Linked DNA regions of Struthio camelus. The protein of the gene in region 1 purifies or fractionates together with the protein of each later gene. This does not show direct contact. Links are inferred from orthologs where the notes say so. Each region holds a gene or a part of one and is shown on either strand. Other genes may lie near its edges.

The links. The genes of interacting proteins can lie anywhere in the genome.
Region 2: the proteins of APAF1 (region 1) and CYCS purify together in Homo sapiens (affinity purification with western blotting; 3 studies listed by BioGRID and IntAct, with this or other methods). This does not show direct contact. The link is inferred for Struthio camelus from reciprocal best matches to the Homo sapiens genes APAF1 and CYCS.

Annotation. Positions count from the first base shown.
Region 1 is NC_090942.1:53,371,029-53,378,978, reverse strand, and holds the start of APAF1 (apoptotic protease-activating factor 1), read right to left. Parts: upstream 3,002-7,950; 5' UTR 2,615-3,001; intron 1,067-2,614; 5' UTR 1,063-1,066; coding exon 925-1,062; intron 664-924; coding exon 474-663; intron 1-473. UniProt on the Homo sapiens protein: Oligomeric Apaf-1 mediates the cytochrome c-dependent autocatalytic activation of pro-caspase-9 (Apaf-3), leading to the activation of caspase-3 and apoptosis. This activation requires ATP. Isoform 6 is less effective in inducing apoptosis.
Region 2 is NC_090943.1:38,123,361-38,130,530, forward strand, and holds CYCS (cytochrome c), read right to left. Parts: upstream 3,016-7,170; 5' UTR 2,885-3,015; exon of another isoform or gene 2,772-2,884; intron 1,697-2,771; 5' UTR 1,689-1,696; coding exon 1,520-1,688; intron 1,337-1,519; coding exon 1,188-1,336; 3' UTR 109-1,187; downstream 1-108. UniProt on the Homo sapiens protein: Electron carrier protein. The oxidized form of the cytochrome c heme group can accept an electron from the heme group of the cytochrome c1 subunit of cytochrome reductase.

The DNA of each region.
Region 1 (7,950 bases):
AAAAGATCTGTTGGAGAGTATTAAGCAACCTATTACCTAGATTTACTGTTGGTATGTGGGGGGTGAGAGATTACAGATTAACCTACAAGGGAATATCAGAATTTCAGAGACTGTAGCTTTTTATGTTAGAGTCAGCTTCTTGAATATATACACACATAAAGTCTTTCACATACAACAAAAATGTTGAGATTTAGATAAAATTGTGAGGGGTTCAGATTTCTGTTTTTTTAAGGTAAGTGTTACTAAGGAGGAGCGTTTTCAAAATGACCTGTGTAAGACATAATCATCCTCTCACACCATATTAATTCTATGAAATACAACAATATTGACTAGTACAATACCAAAGCAAACGAATACATCAACTACCCCTTTTTCATCAAAACAGGGGTTAGTCAGTCATTTAGTAAGGGGGGAAAAAAAAACCAACAACTTGTCTTTACTTTAAGCACAAGGATTGCCATAGATATACTGACCATATGAAGTCATTCCATCCATAGAACTCTTTCCATTACCAGAGGAGATGACAGGGATGCCATCCTGAAGAAGTGCAGCAAGATCTCTGTACCCTTCATGAAGCAGTGCATTATAGAAAGATCTATATGAATTATTATCTTTTGTAAGAAGAATGTTTATTAGCATAGCTGCTCGCTCCTTCTGCGTATTCTAGAACAAACAATAGAAAAGATGTTATATAAAACTAAAAGAGCTTATAAATCATTATTCTGTCACCCTGTGTTTATTATTCTAGAAAAAGGCCTCAACTTCATCCAAGCACTTAACTTAATAATAATTGCATGCTAAGCATATGCTTGAAGAATCTGCTGAATCTAGGAGTAATATAGACTGAAATAAATATGTAGAAAAAGGATGTTAACACACGTGGGCCCTCTAGGACCAAAAAAAACCAGTGAAAGATGATTCTACCTGTTGTTTTACTTTCTCCTCCTCCTGTAACGTCAGTACTTGGTCAGCAATCATATGATCCATAATGTATGAGGTCTTGATGTCTTTTTCCAATGCTTGGCGATTCAGAAGTAAGTAATTTCTGCTCTTCACATCCATGTTTCTTCAGGGTGGAAAGGAAAAAAAGAGTCAAGCTGGAACCAGAACACAATTTAAAAGTACAGAGAAAATAGTTTTTAAATAACTTCGAATCTGATTTTTAAAAGGCAAAAAAGTAGCAGAGCAGCTATATTAGTGGAAAGTACAGTGAGTCTTCAGGCAAGCTCATACTACAAACTGCAGAAAGCCGAAATATTTAGTCGTTTTTCACTTTTGTCTTGATACAACAATAGCATGAAAATGTTTCTATGAATTCTATCATACGGCTTATGATTCACTAATCCAGCTTGACTGGACAGTATGAAGGCATGTTAATAGTTCACAAGCTACTGTGAATATGAATAGTGTTCTTCAAGTATTATTTAGATGCCATATACTCAAACATATTATGTTTGAATAAAAAAGTTCAGTTGAGCATTATTATATTTAATCTAACTACAATAGCTCTCCGACTGTTCCTCTTAGGAGCATACAAAGCAGGAATAAAAACATTTCATTCTTTAACAATTAGACTCACAGTGAAACCATGTGCTCATTAAGTGAATGAAAGTTTTCGTTTAAAAAAAGAAATAGTGAAGTACTGCTAATTTTTGCAAAAGAAAGCATTAACATGAGTCCTTTTCCAGGTTTGTACCAAGTTATTTTTATGAAAACTTGCAAAACTAAAGAATCACAGTTTGTACAAGCTTCTTGTACATTAGGATCTTGCCAGATACTACTAAAAAAGATACTCATTGTCTCCCTCTGCATCCTTCAAATTTTTCAAGTCCTTGGATGATGTAATTGGGAGAACAGGATGAGAAAGATGACTAGGCTTGTGGCTGACAGCACTGCAACAGAAAATAAGCTCCCTGTGTAACAAATTTCACAAGACAAAACTCCGTTTTCTCCAGCCCTGGCACTCCATACAGGTAAAGTCAGATGGAGGAGCCTGACACATTGCAGAAAATGAGCAAATCCAACACCAACGCTGCCAATGAGTGGCCTTCCTTCTGCAGCATCTGACACACAGCAACAGAGAATCAATCCGTGTTCTTCCTATATTTCATAAAATAACGTGGTGAAGACAAGAAAAGGTGAAAGCTATTTTCTATCACACGGAGGTTTTTCAGCGCTGGCCAATTGCCAATGAAAGTCCCAAAATGGTCTCTTCATTCGCACTCCTGAGTGACCACCAGAAACTACATATGCAATTGAAAGTTGCCCCCACAGAGCAACTATGAAACTGCCCAAGTGTTCACTTTCTTCTTTCCTCCCTCTCTCCCTCTCATTTAGGAAGCAGGTAGATGCAGAACCTTTTGATAAGCCTGTGAAGGAGCGCCTCTTTAGCCATACAGAGGAAATTTCCTGTTTTCACCGAAAATTATGCGGATAAGAACATCTTTCAAGCTCCTTCTAGGCACCGCATGGGAAGGACACACGGAAATGCCGCCGCTACTCCCAGTCGGAAGGTCTGCGGGCTAAAGTACCTCGATCAACACACACAACAAATGCTAAAAGACACCGCCTCCCCCCCGCCGCCCCCCGGCCCCGCAAACACCCTCGGCGTTACCTCGCAGCCAGGCAAGGCGTCCAGGATTCCCCGCTGCAGTCACCGGCACCGGCGCCTCCCCAGAACGGAACAGAAACCGAAACGCCCGCACCAGGCTCCCGTCACCAACAGGCCCGCCGCCAAGGCCCGCAGGCCACGGGCCGTCCGCGGCGGGCCGCCCGCCCTCCTCCTCCTCCGCCGCGGACTGGCCCGGCCCAGTCCAGTCCCGGCCCCGGTTCCAGTCCCGGTCCCGGTGCGCCCAGGCAGCTTTCCCCGCGGCCCGAACGGGCGAGGCGGGCGAACTGCCCCGACCGTTACGTCGGTTACCGATCGGCCGTCGGCAGCCACCGGCAACAGGCTCCCGCCTCGCGCCGGGAGGCGGCGTCCCCCACCAGCACTTCCTCCTTCCGGGCCTGGGGCGGGGGGAAGCGCCCCTCCCACCGCCGCTGTGGAGGGCTGGGCCCCTCGCTCGGCAGGGCGGGGGAGGGGCGCGCGCCTGACGTGGCGGGCCGGGGGGTGGCGGCTGCCAACGGCTGTAACGGGCCGAGGTAGCGGCGGCCCGCGCGAGAGGTAGGGGGCCGGGGGAAGGGCGTGCGGGCGCGTGAACGAAGCTGTGGGGCTGCCGCGCCGTCCCGCCCCGTGTGGCGCTGCCCCAGGCTGAGGGGCGTCGGGGCTGCCGGAGCGATAGGGGCCGTGGGAGGAAGAAGGGGGTCGGCGGGGGAGGCTGGAGCGGCATCCCGGCCGCCGGCAGCGGGGGTTGGGGGGCGGGCGGGCGGCGCCCCTCGGCGTGGGGGAAGTTTCCTCGGAGCGATGTGGCGAGGCGGGGGGGGGGGGGAAGAAGACGACGAGGCGGCCGTGGGTGCCCACCGTCTGCGTGGAGAGGGCCGGCTTTCAGCGTGCCCCGGCGGACTGAGCAGGACTGGGGGGCGAGAAGGGCTTTGGGGGGGGGGGATACAGGAGTGTTCCTGTGTCGAGCTGCTCTTTCTCGTGTCGCACCGGGGTGCACTGTGCAGTTTGCCTTTTTGAAAGCTGAGTTGTTTTTGTGTTAAACTCCTGGCGCCCTTCAGATCACTTTTTGATTTTAATCTCCTAATTACGTGCTCTCGAGCCCAAAAGTGTTTTAAAAGTTATAAAATATCTCTTTTGCCATTTTTTGTTTTGGTGAGCAAGAGGTTGTTTTGTGTTTTTTTTTTTAATCTTTCAGACAAAGAAGACTTCGTAGTACTGTTGCTCACAAACAGCTCCAAGCTTCATACCCTTGTGACAGATTTGGATTTTAAACAGTGCCTTTTTCCCATGCTTGCAACTGCGTAAGTATCTCTGATAGTTCACTCTTTATGTTTTGACATGTAACTAAGCTACGATACTGCAAAGTGTTCCAGAAAGAAGCGTGATATTTTTGTCTCAGATGGCTCTAAACCAAAAATCCACAAAGTATCTAGTTTATTTTGTGTCATGTGCTGGAAGATTTTAGGCTTAGAAATTCCACATTATACTTTCACCTGGTTGTTTTGAATATGCACTTTGATAGTCTTGGAAAGTGGAGATTATTAACTCCTTGCCTGAATCTATTGGGACCTTACTTCTAGCAGAGAGGAAGTGATAACTTGTCTTTTATATAGATACGTTATTTCATTCATTTTTGTATTTTTATATTATTGCTTTTATATGAAATCATTAAAACAGAATTATTTGTAAATTAAATCTTGATTTGTAGTCCCATATTTAAAAAGGATAAGATGCACTTTTCCTCTTTAATGTGCAGTAGGCAATAATTTACAAAAATCTACGAGTAAAGCAGGATAGTGAAATTGATTATCATCACAGTGTTATCAGCAACAACTATAAAAAAAGGCATATTGCTCGTCTTTCTTTTAATCATTGCGATTTTAAACATGTTCTGAAAATGGCTTGTTTCACTACAGGTAGCTGAAATATTTCTGGAAAGGTGAAATTAGCTTAAGTGAAGAATCAGACAGTTCACTCTGTTCAGAAAATGTGAAAGCTGTAGCCCTATTGTATACAAATGAAAGTTTTCACAAAAAGTGTTATGAAGGTATTCCAGCACTTTGTTTTCTAGCTGTGTGAATTTTTATATAGTAAGCATCAAAGGACACATTTGGGAGGGTCGTGTAACTATATGGAGGAAGTTTATATCTGGGAACACTTGTCACTTGCAAGTAATTAGTTGTGGAGGTCTATTTTGTTTGGGTTTTTTTTTTTTTTGCTAGCTCTCTTTTTTTGCTTCTGCTTCTTAAGGACACAAAATGTCTGAGGTTAAGCAGAGGAAAAGAGGTATTTCTTCTTCCAAGACCAATGAAGATTCACAGAAGGCCAAGAAAGACAGTAATCGTGGGAAGCTGGTAAATCCCAGGACTAGCAGTAATCAGATTTCCTCTTGGATAGACTCACGGACAGCCTTGAGCCTAATATCCCTTGCCGTTTGCCTGGCACTGACCTGGTAGGTAATCCTCTGTAGTGGATTTCATCACGTTCTTTCGTATTCTATGCTATGTTCGGTCATGGACAATGTGATTAGTAATATTTGAACACAGCATTTGAGTGAAGAGCATATACTTCATAGGAACATATTAAAGCTAGAAAGGGTAAAGAAAAGAATAGTGATAATCACAAGAAGTGTGGAAACCCTGTCATACAGTGAGGGGTTATAGAAGCTTGATCTCTTTTGTCTTGCTAAAAGCTTAAAAGACGCCTTGCTCATGAATTGTAAATACCTGCTTGGGAGACTACATCTAACTGTGAAGAGCACCTTAATCTGACAAAAAGTGCAAGGCTCGGTGGGCAGGGAACAAATAAATCGTCAGCAGAAATGAAGTATGGTTTTATGTAAGTACTTTGCTTAGCAATGTGGCAAATTGCTCATCGAGTAGAGTCTTCCAAGTAAAGATCAAATATCCTTGTAAAAGGTGTTCTAGAATATCTTAGTGTCATCGGTATTTTAGTTCCATCAGAAGCTATGAGCTTCATGCAGAAATGCTATGATGAAATTCTCTAAATTCTAGTGCAAGAAATGAGACCGGATTATTACGCTCTTGACTTCACTCTCCACGTTTTGGCAAAATTCGTACTTATTTTAATATCACCTAGATTTCTTTATGTAAATTTTTGAGGAATAGAATGTCATAGTAGAAAAAAATGATTAGTAATGCCTCTGCTTAATCTATTTTACAAATCCATTTACGTTTGTTTTGCATCTATCTATATATAGGTAGTGTTTTAGCTTTTACTGCATAGCTTAATCTGTACAGACTGTATTATAGATCTTTTGAAACTTTTACTTGCATTTCAATTAAAATAAACAAAAACAACTATCAAATTACAAAACCAAAAGTAAAGTAAAATTTTTAAATAGTGTATTGTTCTAGATGCATTTGTTCTCATCTGAGAGGATCCTTGGATAGTCTGCCTAGGTCTGCAGTATACCTTGTTTTGGGATTGATAAACATCCATCAAATTCAGTTTTTTGCTCTATTGTCTCATTTCCTTTGTAACTGGACAAAATGCTGACAGTTCAGCTACCACGGTCACAGTTAACAAATATATCATATATATGAAGTGCAGGATTGAGATTTCCACTATCGGTATCTGTTCACAAAGCTAGTATCATCACAACAACAGCTATTCACGTTTTCCTACAACACACCATAGGTTCTTGGATGGTTACAATTAAACAAAATTAGAGCTAGCCAGCTTTTCTAAATCTAAAGTTCCTTTACATGATTTTGTGATGCCTTGCAAGAGTCCAAATTGATTTAGTTGTGTTTTAATTCCAACAGATAAATGATACTTTTCAATAAAACATACCTTGCTTATGAGGCAATGCATTGTAAGCATTTAATGGCCTAAGAGCGTAAGTAGTATTTTTGTCATTTTTACTGTTTGATAGGCATGCTATGTAAAATGAGGCACACCTCCTAATGTTTTCTTGTTTTTCTGTTTCGATTGGAAGCTGTTAACTCCAGTAAACTTCCTTAAACCCTGTTTTTTCCCCTCATATATTGATTTAGCAAATTTCATTAATGCAAATCCCTGCATTAACAGATCCCTGTGAAATCAGGTCCTATAACACTTAATATATGCCAATTATATAATTTATTTACTGTTTATTTATTTACAATTTGCAGGTTCCTATTTCAGCAGACAAGTCAATTTGCTGATATGGAAAAAAAGTATAGTTTCTTGCAGCAAGAAGCTGAAAAATTCCTGGACATGGAAAATAAAGTTAACTTAATTTCTGAAAAGGTAATCATTAACATTTTAATTGGATAATCTGTGAACGTTTGCCAATATGTTATTTCACTGTCATTTAGTCAAATGTAACTGATTTTTTTTTTTTTTAGATAAACATTTATAATGGGTTCTAGTTGTCTGCAGGTAGGCCTTGTATAAGTATTTCATTGAAACATTTGTGAAGAAAGCTCAGGCAATCAGGTCTGACTTCTGATATGTTACAGTTTTTTTTTTTACTGATTTGCCACTGAAGCTTGGTCAAGTCACTTTGACTTTCTCTGTCAGTTCGCTACATGTTTAAAATAGAGATAAATGTAATTATCTACTTCTGTAAAGTGCTTAGACTATGATAAAGAATGCTGTGAAGCACTATATATTATACTTGCAGCAGGACAACTAATAAAATTTAGAGGCTGCGCTGCTTAGAATCAGTTATTTAAACACTTGATTGATCATGTGTTTGTGTTAGAATATCAGCCTTACTGAAAAGCATTAATGAGGAAATGGTAGTCCTGGTGACAATAGTGGCAAAACTCTTACTGACTTTATCAGAACTAGTGTTTCACCGAACACATGTCCTTAGTTATTAGTATGTTTTTATTCTTCATTATTGTTGTCCTTAAGACTGTAAATACTCCTTTTTTAGCAAGTGTTCAATTAAAAAGAAAATTTAGGTGCCTTAGGAATCAGATTTGTCTTAATTTTATCAATGTGACTGTGTCAATCCACACAATTGTTTGTGGATGTTAGTACAGTGATTATATCTCAGTATATTTTTGCAGACACTAAACTATTTTAAATAATTTATGCACAAACTTCATTCTGCCAGTACTGTTTTGCATGTAATTCAAATGTACATTGATTGGAAGAAAATTTACAAGGATTTTTAATAGTAGATCAGCCTGAATAATATGAAAGACATACTGAAGGAGCAGTTAATATTTTTTTCCCTTGCTACTTTATTTTCCTTTCTGTGCATCCCATTAGCAAGCAGAAAACTTAGTTTGGCTGCAGAAGTATCCCCTGTATATTACAGATAACAATGGGAGTACAGCATGGCTTACGCCAGTACTTTTAGCACTGATCTCATAATGTTGTCATTTATA
Region 2 (7,170 bases), on another chromosome or scaffold:
TACTTTTCTTGTAAGAAGTGTTTTTCAGGTGTAAAACCCGAAACCAAACATATAGCTTTTTTCTACACTCCCATTTTGTCTCACTAAATTTCAGACACATACAGCAAACAAGATTTTGAGTTCTTTAATTTACAATGTTGATCACTCTTTGAATTGGGCCTTGCCACTGGTACACAGTAAATACATTCAGCTTAACAATTCACTTAGTATGAAAAGATGCAGTTAGAACTTTAAAAACACACTATTTTACACTGCATGAAATAGAACCTTCTAAAGTAATGACACAAGGCAAGCACAGACACAGAGGAAGACAGCCTCCTTTTAGTCTACCAGTGCATTCTTGCCTACACCCCTTCAGCAGAATTTGCTTGTAACAATAGATTTTAGGTTAACACTCCTGTTGAAGTGAGATTTAGTAACATTCAGCTTAGTGTTCAGCACTTATCTTTCCAGGACAGTACAGTTCTCTGTTCCATTTATTAAGCTATGAACAGGTATGTTCTGAAGAGTTATTGAACAAAGGGTTTCAACAACACTTCAAAAATTGAAAATTTTTCTGATATAGTCTATGCTCTACTGGTGCATGCAGCTCTCAAAGTCTGGATAAACAGGCAACATGCTTCCCCTAGAAGTGGGTTGGTACAACTGCCATATCACAGGTAGTACTTATGAAGTCAGATGAACTTGCATTCTTATCCCAAGCTTTAGCCAGATGAACGTATACAACCACACATTGCACTGGTCAGGATTAGAAAAATACCGTTTTGTTATCTTGCAGGTAATGTTACAAATGATGCATTTGGAAGGATGCAAAAACCCACCCTACTTTTTTTAAACCACGAAGAGGTGGGCTGCCAAAGCTATTATGCTGTTTGCAATGACTCGCTTGATATTTTTTACAATGAAGAGGCAGGAAATGTTTATTTTTTTTCCTCCATTTAATTCCATGATCAAGAATGACTGAACATTGTATTCACTGATGTCTACCCAGTTACATAAGGTTTCCTTAAGTTATGGCTGCCAAACAAGCATGTATTCCAACCACCCACCACAAGCAACATTATTTGGCGAGTGAGGCAAATTTTAAGGTTAGATACAGTACATGTAAAAATAGAAAGTTTAAAAACCATCACAGACATTTCCATTGCCATCTCCTTTGTGAAATAAATAAGGCAGCAGATAAAAGTTTACTTAGAAGTAGCATCTTTGAGATATGCTATTAAATCTGCTCTCTCAGACTTCTTCTTAATACCCGCAAAAATCATCTTTGTTCCTGGGATGTACTTCTTTGGATTTTCCAAATACTCCATCAGAGTATCCTCACCCCAGGTGATTCCTAGCGAAAAGGAGGAAAAAAAAGAGACAGTGACCTTAAAAAATAAGCAAACAAATCCCTCCCCCCCCAACATTTATTTTCTTGTCCTCCATGGTATTTTACTTTTTGGCAGACTTCCGGACCTATCACTGAAAGCTTGCTGTTTTTGTGCCAAGTAACTTAAAAGTGCTCTTTTGAGTTTACCTTTATTCTTATTAGCATCTGTGTAAGAGAAGCCCTCAGCTTGTCCAGTCTTACGTCCAAACAGGCCATTCAGGTTGGGTCCAGTCTTGTGCTTGCCTCCCTTTTCAACTGTATGGCACTGGGAACATTTCTGGACAAAGATCTTCTTCCCCTTCTCAATATCTCCCATTTTCAGTACTAGGGTGAGAACATATACAGAGGTTAATGTCACAACATCAAGGTCAACTATTTAACAGAAGCCTTAAAAGGGTCCTGTTGGTTTACAAAACCATATACACTAGCCCATTAATCTCCAGAGTTTCTTCCCACAGATAGGGTTTCTGGGTCTGGAGTTTCTGGGTAGAAACTTCCTGGGTTTGAAGATTAGCATAGAATCACTGAACTAAGCAGAACATATTTAAGGTGATAAACATCATGCTTGAACAGCAGGAAAAGCCTTCCCCCACCCAAAGTAATTGCTTTACAGCATTTAATATCACTCTACCCTTCAGAAATTATTTCAGCAATATTTATTTCCCTTCCTGTCACATAGCTTCAATATCTCCATTAAGACAGTTCCCTAGTCATGAACAATCTTGTATAAAAAAAATCATCCTCACTGATACACTCGTAAGAAGGACAAACTAACGATCTGTGTATTTTTCCATTTCTGCTCGAAAAGGAACCCAGCACACCACCTAGTAAGGAGCCAAGGGAGGCAGGCAAGCAACTTGCCCGCCTGCCTCCCGCCACGAGCCGGCATGCCTCCTCAGCACCCGCCAGGAGCAACGCTATTTGCATACAAGCCCTCAAAGGCAACCGCAATTCCGAGGCTGCCCTTGAGGCGGGCAGCCCGCCCGCCGCGCGGGCACAGCCTCGCGGCGAGCGCTGCTCCTCTCCTCCTGACACGGCCCCAGGGCCGCGGCCGGCGCCGCCACCCTGCAAGGGCGCAAGGGGCCGGCGGCGCGACCACCTCTCCCGAGCGGGCCCGGGTGCCCCCCCAGGGCATCCCGGGACACGGACGCCCTCGCCACTAGGCCCCACGGTGACCTTCTTGCCGCAGCCCGGCCGCCTGCTTAGGCCGCGACGCCGGGCTCCTCCGCCTGGGTCGACGGAGGTGGGCAGCGGGCGCCCCGGCCCCGGCCCGGCCCGGCCCAACCCTCCCCTTCCCCCCCCCCCAGGGCCTAACGGTCCCGCCGAGCCACGGTAACCGCTGGCTGGCTGGCTGGCTGGCAGCGGCTCCCCGCCGCCCCCCGCCGGCGGCTGCACGCACCTGCGTGCCCGGCCGCCCCGCGCCGCGCCGCGCCGCGCCGCGCCCACGGCGGTGATCACCAGCCCGACCGCCCGCTCACCGTCCCGACGACTGAGCCCAAGGACACGCCGTACCCCGCCCTATGTAAGCCGGTGTCGCTGCAACCAAGCCACGCCGGCCTCGGCCCGCCCCTGTTTTAGCGCGGCAGCCAGTCAAGGACCGCCTTAGAGACCTCTGATTGGCTCTCGCCCCCGTCCGCCAAGATAGACGTCACGGCGCTGGAGGCTAGCGGGGTAGGTTGCGGCGAGGGGGAGCCGGGTTGCCTTCTCCTTCCCTCTCCCCCTCCCCCCTCCTCCTTGCGGAAGGGCATCAGACGTAACGCTGATACGTAAGGAGCGTCAGGAGGCACGAGCGCGGGGCGGGTCCCCGGCGCGTGCGCACAAGGGAATGCGAAGCAAGGGTCACGAGGCGCCCCGCGGAGGCTGCGACCTTAGCGGGCGGCTCGGGAGGCCGCGTGGCGGCGCGGTGGGCGGGGCCCGGCCCGGCCCGACCGTGACGTGGTGGGGGAGCGCCCAGCCCCGCCCCTCCCCTCCCCCGGCGCGGCTGTGACGGCCGTTGCCGCCCGTTGCCTCTGGGGGTTTCAAGTTCTGGCACTTTCGAAAGCTTGAGGAGACGATCACCGTGAGTGCGGGCGTGTTTCTTTTTTAAGTCAAGGCGAGCAAGGGGCTAAGCCCCTACTTTGAGGCTGTTGCATTTTAAAGAGTTGTTTAAGAGAAACCGGAGAATAAAGTGATAGAAATATCGCAGTTAGCAAAAGGATGCTAAAAATCTCGCAAACTTGAGAAAGATAAGCGTGTTAGTGAAGGTGCCACCATAAAGAACTGAGGAGGAGGCAAAAGCACATCCGTATCTTAGATCTCGTGTGGAATGCTAAAGTCTTTGAGTTTTGAAAAAGCTAAGAGTGTTATTGAAAGTGCCACCTTAAGAAAAGAGGAGGGTGCCCCAGACCCATTGTCCCAGCAAGTTGGACAATGTTGTAAAGCTTGAAAAAAATTATATCAATAAACTACAAGTATTTAAAACAGGATTTGAATATTGAATTTCAGATGTAAGCACCATCTTCTTTCTGTCCTTGACAAAGAGGATGAAGAGTTCTTAAAAAGCCTCCTGTAGTAGTAATATCCAGTGTTCAAAAGGCAGAACGTCACAAAAGGTGAACTATTTGCCCTAATTATTGACATTAAACAAAATGCCAGCGTAACAGAATTTCCCAGAAGTGCCTGGCATTTGAACGAGAGTAACATCTTTTTGCATGCTCTTGCGCTATGCTGGAACTGATGTGTGATCATGTACAAAGCTGGATGGCTGTTACCACGTTGTGGAGCAGAGCTTATCTGGAGTGCCAACGTGAAGAATGAAGGAATAAGGACAGGGTAAAAAGACAGCAAAGGTTCTTCTGATGTCAAATTTTGCTGGCAATTGATAAGATTATTCAGCCAATTGTCCCTTATAAGTTGGAGAGTGTATGTTTTATGCACTGCTTATCATGTCTGCGGCATCAAACAGATGTGTCCATCCAGTTATTAACACTTCGTCACTAGGTATATGCATAATATGATACTAAGCTATAACAATTACCATATATACATAATCATCTTCTTGACTATAAACTTACTATAATAAAACTACTTTGCTTTTAATATATAGCTAAGTTCATATACTTTATGGCAAGCCAGGTAATATATGTGCAATTGAGCCACTGTAAATAGGTATCTTGACTTTTGTTTCGCGAAATTCAAATCATGCCAACCTCCCAAAATTAGGAGGTTGGCTGAAGAGATGTTGCGTAAAAACTAAGTATATTTCTATTCATTTTAATCACCATCTGATTTTGAGCATTCATGATGCGCTTGACTTATGTTTTTAGACTTTTTACCACAATTGTATGGGCTATAGACTAATTTTTTAAGTAAGGGTTGAGTGTCTCATATGATTCTAGGAGCTAACTTTATGAAACTTATATCATAACACTTAGGATAAAACCCCTGGTTTCTTCTATCTTTAAAAGAGGAATGAGCTGAAAGCACCTTCTAAGCTGCTTTAAGAATTGACAATAATTCTTAAGCTTCTTTAAGCACTTGATTAGGACTGATGCAAGCTTCTTTGAGCACTTGATGTGGACTGGAGCCCACGGACGTTCTTTCAAAAGTTCTCCCCTTCTTATCTTCACAGAACACAGACTCTTTGTAACTCTCATTTCTAGTATGTTTTGCCTTCCAAGTGCAGGTATGCTCCTGCGGAGCATTGCATGTTGAGCTTTACAGCTAACCTTTCCGAGGCACGTGTTGAGACATTGTAGCAATGTTATTTTTATTTTTCTGGGAAAGCTATTTTTGAAAGTTGTGCCTTAATTCAAGACAATTTAATCCATTTTTGGTAAACTTTAATAAAATAATGTTCTCAGGGAACATACTAGATCTGTGAGACTTTCAGCCATAAAGGTGAATATGCTAAAGATCAGCCTGTAAAATGAACAGAGGCAGAGAGTCTTCTCTGCCTCATACCTGACTGTTCAGATGTCTACTTTAAGAGTGACTGCCTCTGGTTTTGATGTAGTACCATTTTAGACAGGTATAAATGATATTAAAGTATTCACGGGATTGCATACTTTTTAAATTGTTCAGTAGAAGCTGATGTTCTGCCTAACATACGCTGATTTAGAAAATAAGTTTTCACCAGTAAGAACGGGTACCTCAAATGGAGAGGATTTGACTTAATGCGTTTGCGGGTTACCTAAGCATGAATCTGGAGCAGTGCAGTGGTAAGAACTGTTGTTGTGTCAGTGATTTAGTCTGTAATCACGGTGCTGGATGCTGGTTTTAAGAAACTGCCATACCCTGACTCATAAATCTTACCAAGTCATAGAACAGTACTGATGAATTTGCACCATTAGCATTTCTGAATTGTACTGAGGCTGTTCAGAGAACCACGTGTTTTTAATTGTCTTTTGAAATTGTATAGGAGGAAGGAGTAGTTCTCCATAGATTTTCAGGAATACAGCTGGGCTGGGCTGGAACCCTATGCTTTGAGGGTCACTTTTCAGCATTGTTAGGGTGCGAGTCCTGTAATTTGGAAGGTACTGATTGTCTTATGTTTATTATCTCTTTTAGTGGGTATTTGGACAGAGGACAGGAAGCTGTTCAGCTATACTCCGAACAGGTAAGGAAGACAGAGAGAAGACATGTTAGACTGAAGAGTCCTCGGATGAAAATGGCTGATGAATGGTGTCTCTCAAATCTTTGCTACTTGCTGTGTTTTGCACAGTCTGTGTTAGAGAAGATAAATATGCTACTCTTTGGAACAGCGGGAAAGGCAGAGTCTCTGAGATACTCTGGAGTCACCATATATTAGGCTCCTTCTTCAGGCAAAGCTAAATTTGTCCATAACATACACTTTTGTGTAGCATTTTTGTCAAACAAATCCTAGTTGGATTTTTAAGCTCTGTGTGTGGTCATGTCATGTGGCACTGTATTTATGCTTTCTGCGTTTGTCTCAGCCAACATTGTGATATCTCTGTGTTTTTTTTTTTAATAAATGAAAAGAGCTATATTAAACTGAATATTTGGATTGCATTCAATGCATATTTGTCGTCAGTGAAAAGATAAAAGCTATTGTCAAATTAAAAAGAATTGTTGTATTGTCACCTGTCTGTGCTTTGAAGATCACATGCTTGGGGCAGTTTGGTACAGAAATATTTTCTGCATCCTAGGGTACAGTGTGTCAGTTGTAGGATTTGATCTTAGCAGAGGAAGGAGGACCTCAAGAGTTCTTCCTGTATCTGCTGTTCATGTGGTTTTGTAGGGTGAGTTTGGAGGCAACTGCCTGGAACTAGGGAAGAAACCTCCTACTGTAGGAGGTTTCAGGAGGAGGGAGAGGCTGAAAATTGAGGAAGCAGGATGTTGTTCTCAGCTCCAGTTAGGCACAGGGTGAGGCAACACCCTGTAAACTATTGCAGGCATTGCAGTAAACTATTAGAAAAGTAAGTGGGCCATGTGCAATTGAATGTTAACATTTCAAGTGGGACATTGCACACTTCTCACCTCAGGGCAGCAAACAGGTAGCACAGGTAAAGAGAGACCAGCCAGTTCAGGCAGGGTGCAAAGCACAGTGGGCAGCTGGAAGGTTGCCAAAATATTTGATAACTGAAACACTCACACAACCTTATAATGCTGTGACTTACTGAGTGAAAAATTTCGTAGAAGCACAGAATCATTGAGGTTGGAAGGAACCTCAGGAGATGGTCCAGTCCAGCTGCCCCGGTTCAGAGAAGCATCAACTAGAACAGCTTGCCCAGGGTTGTGTCCAGTGGATTTAGAATATGGAGACTCTACAGCTTCTCTGGGAAACCTATTCTAGCATT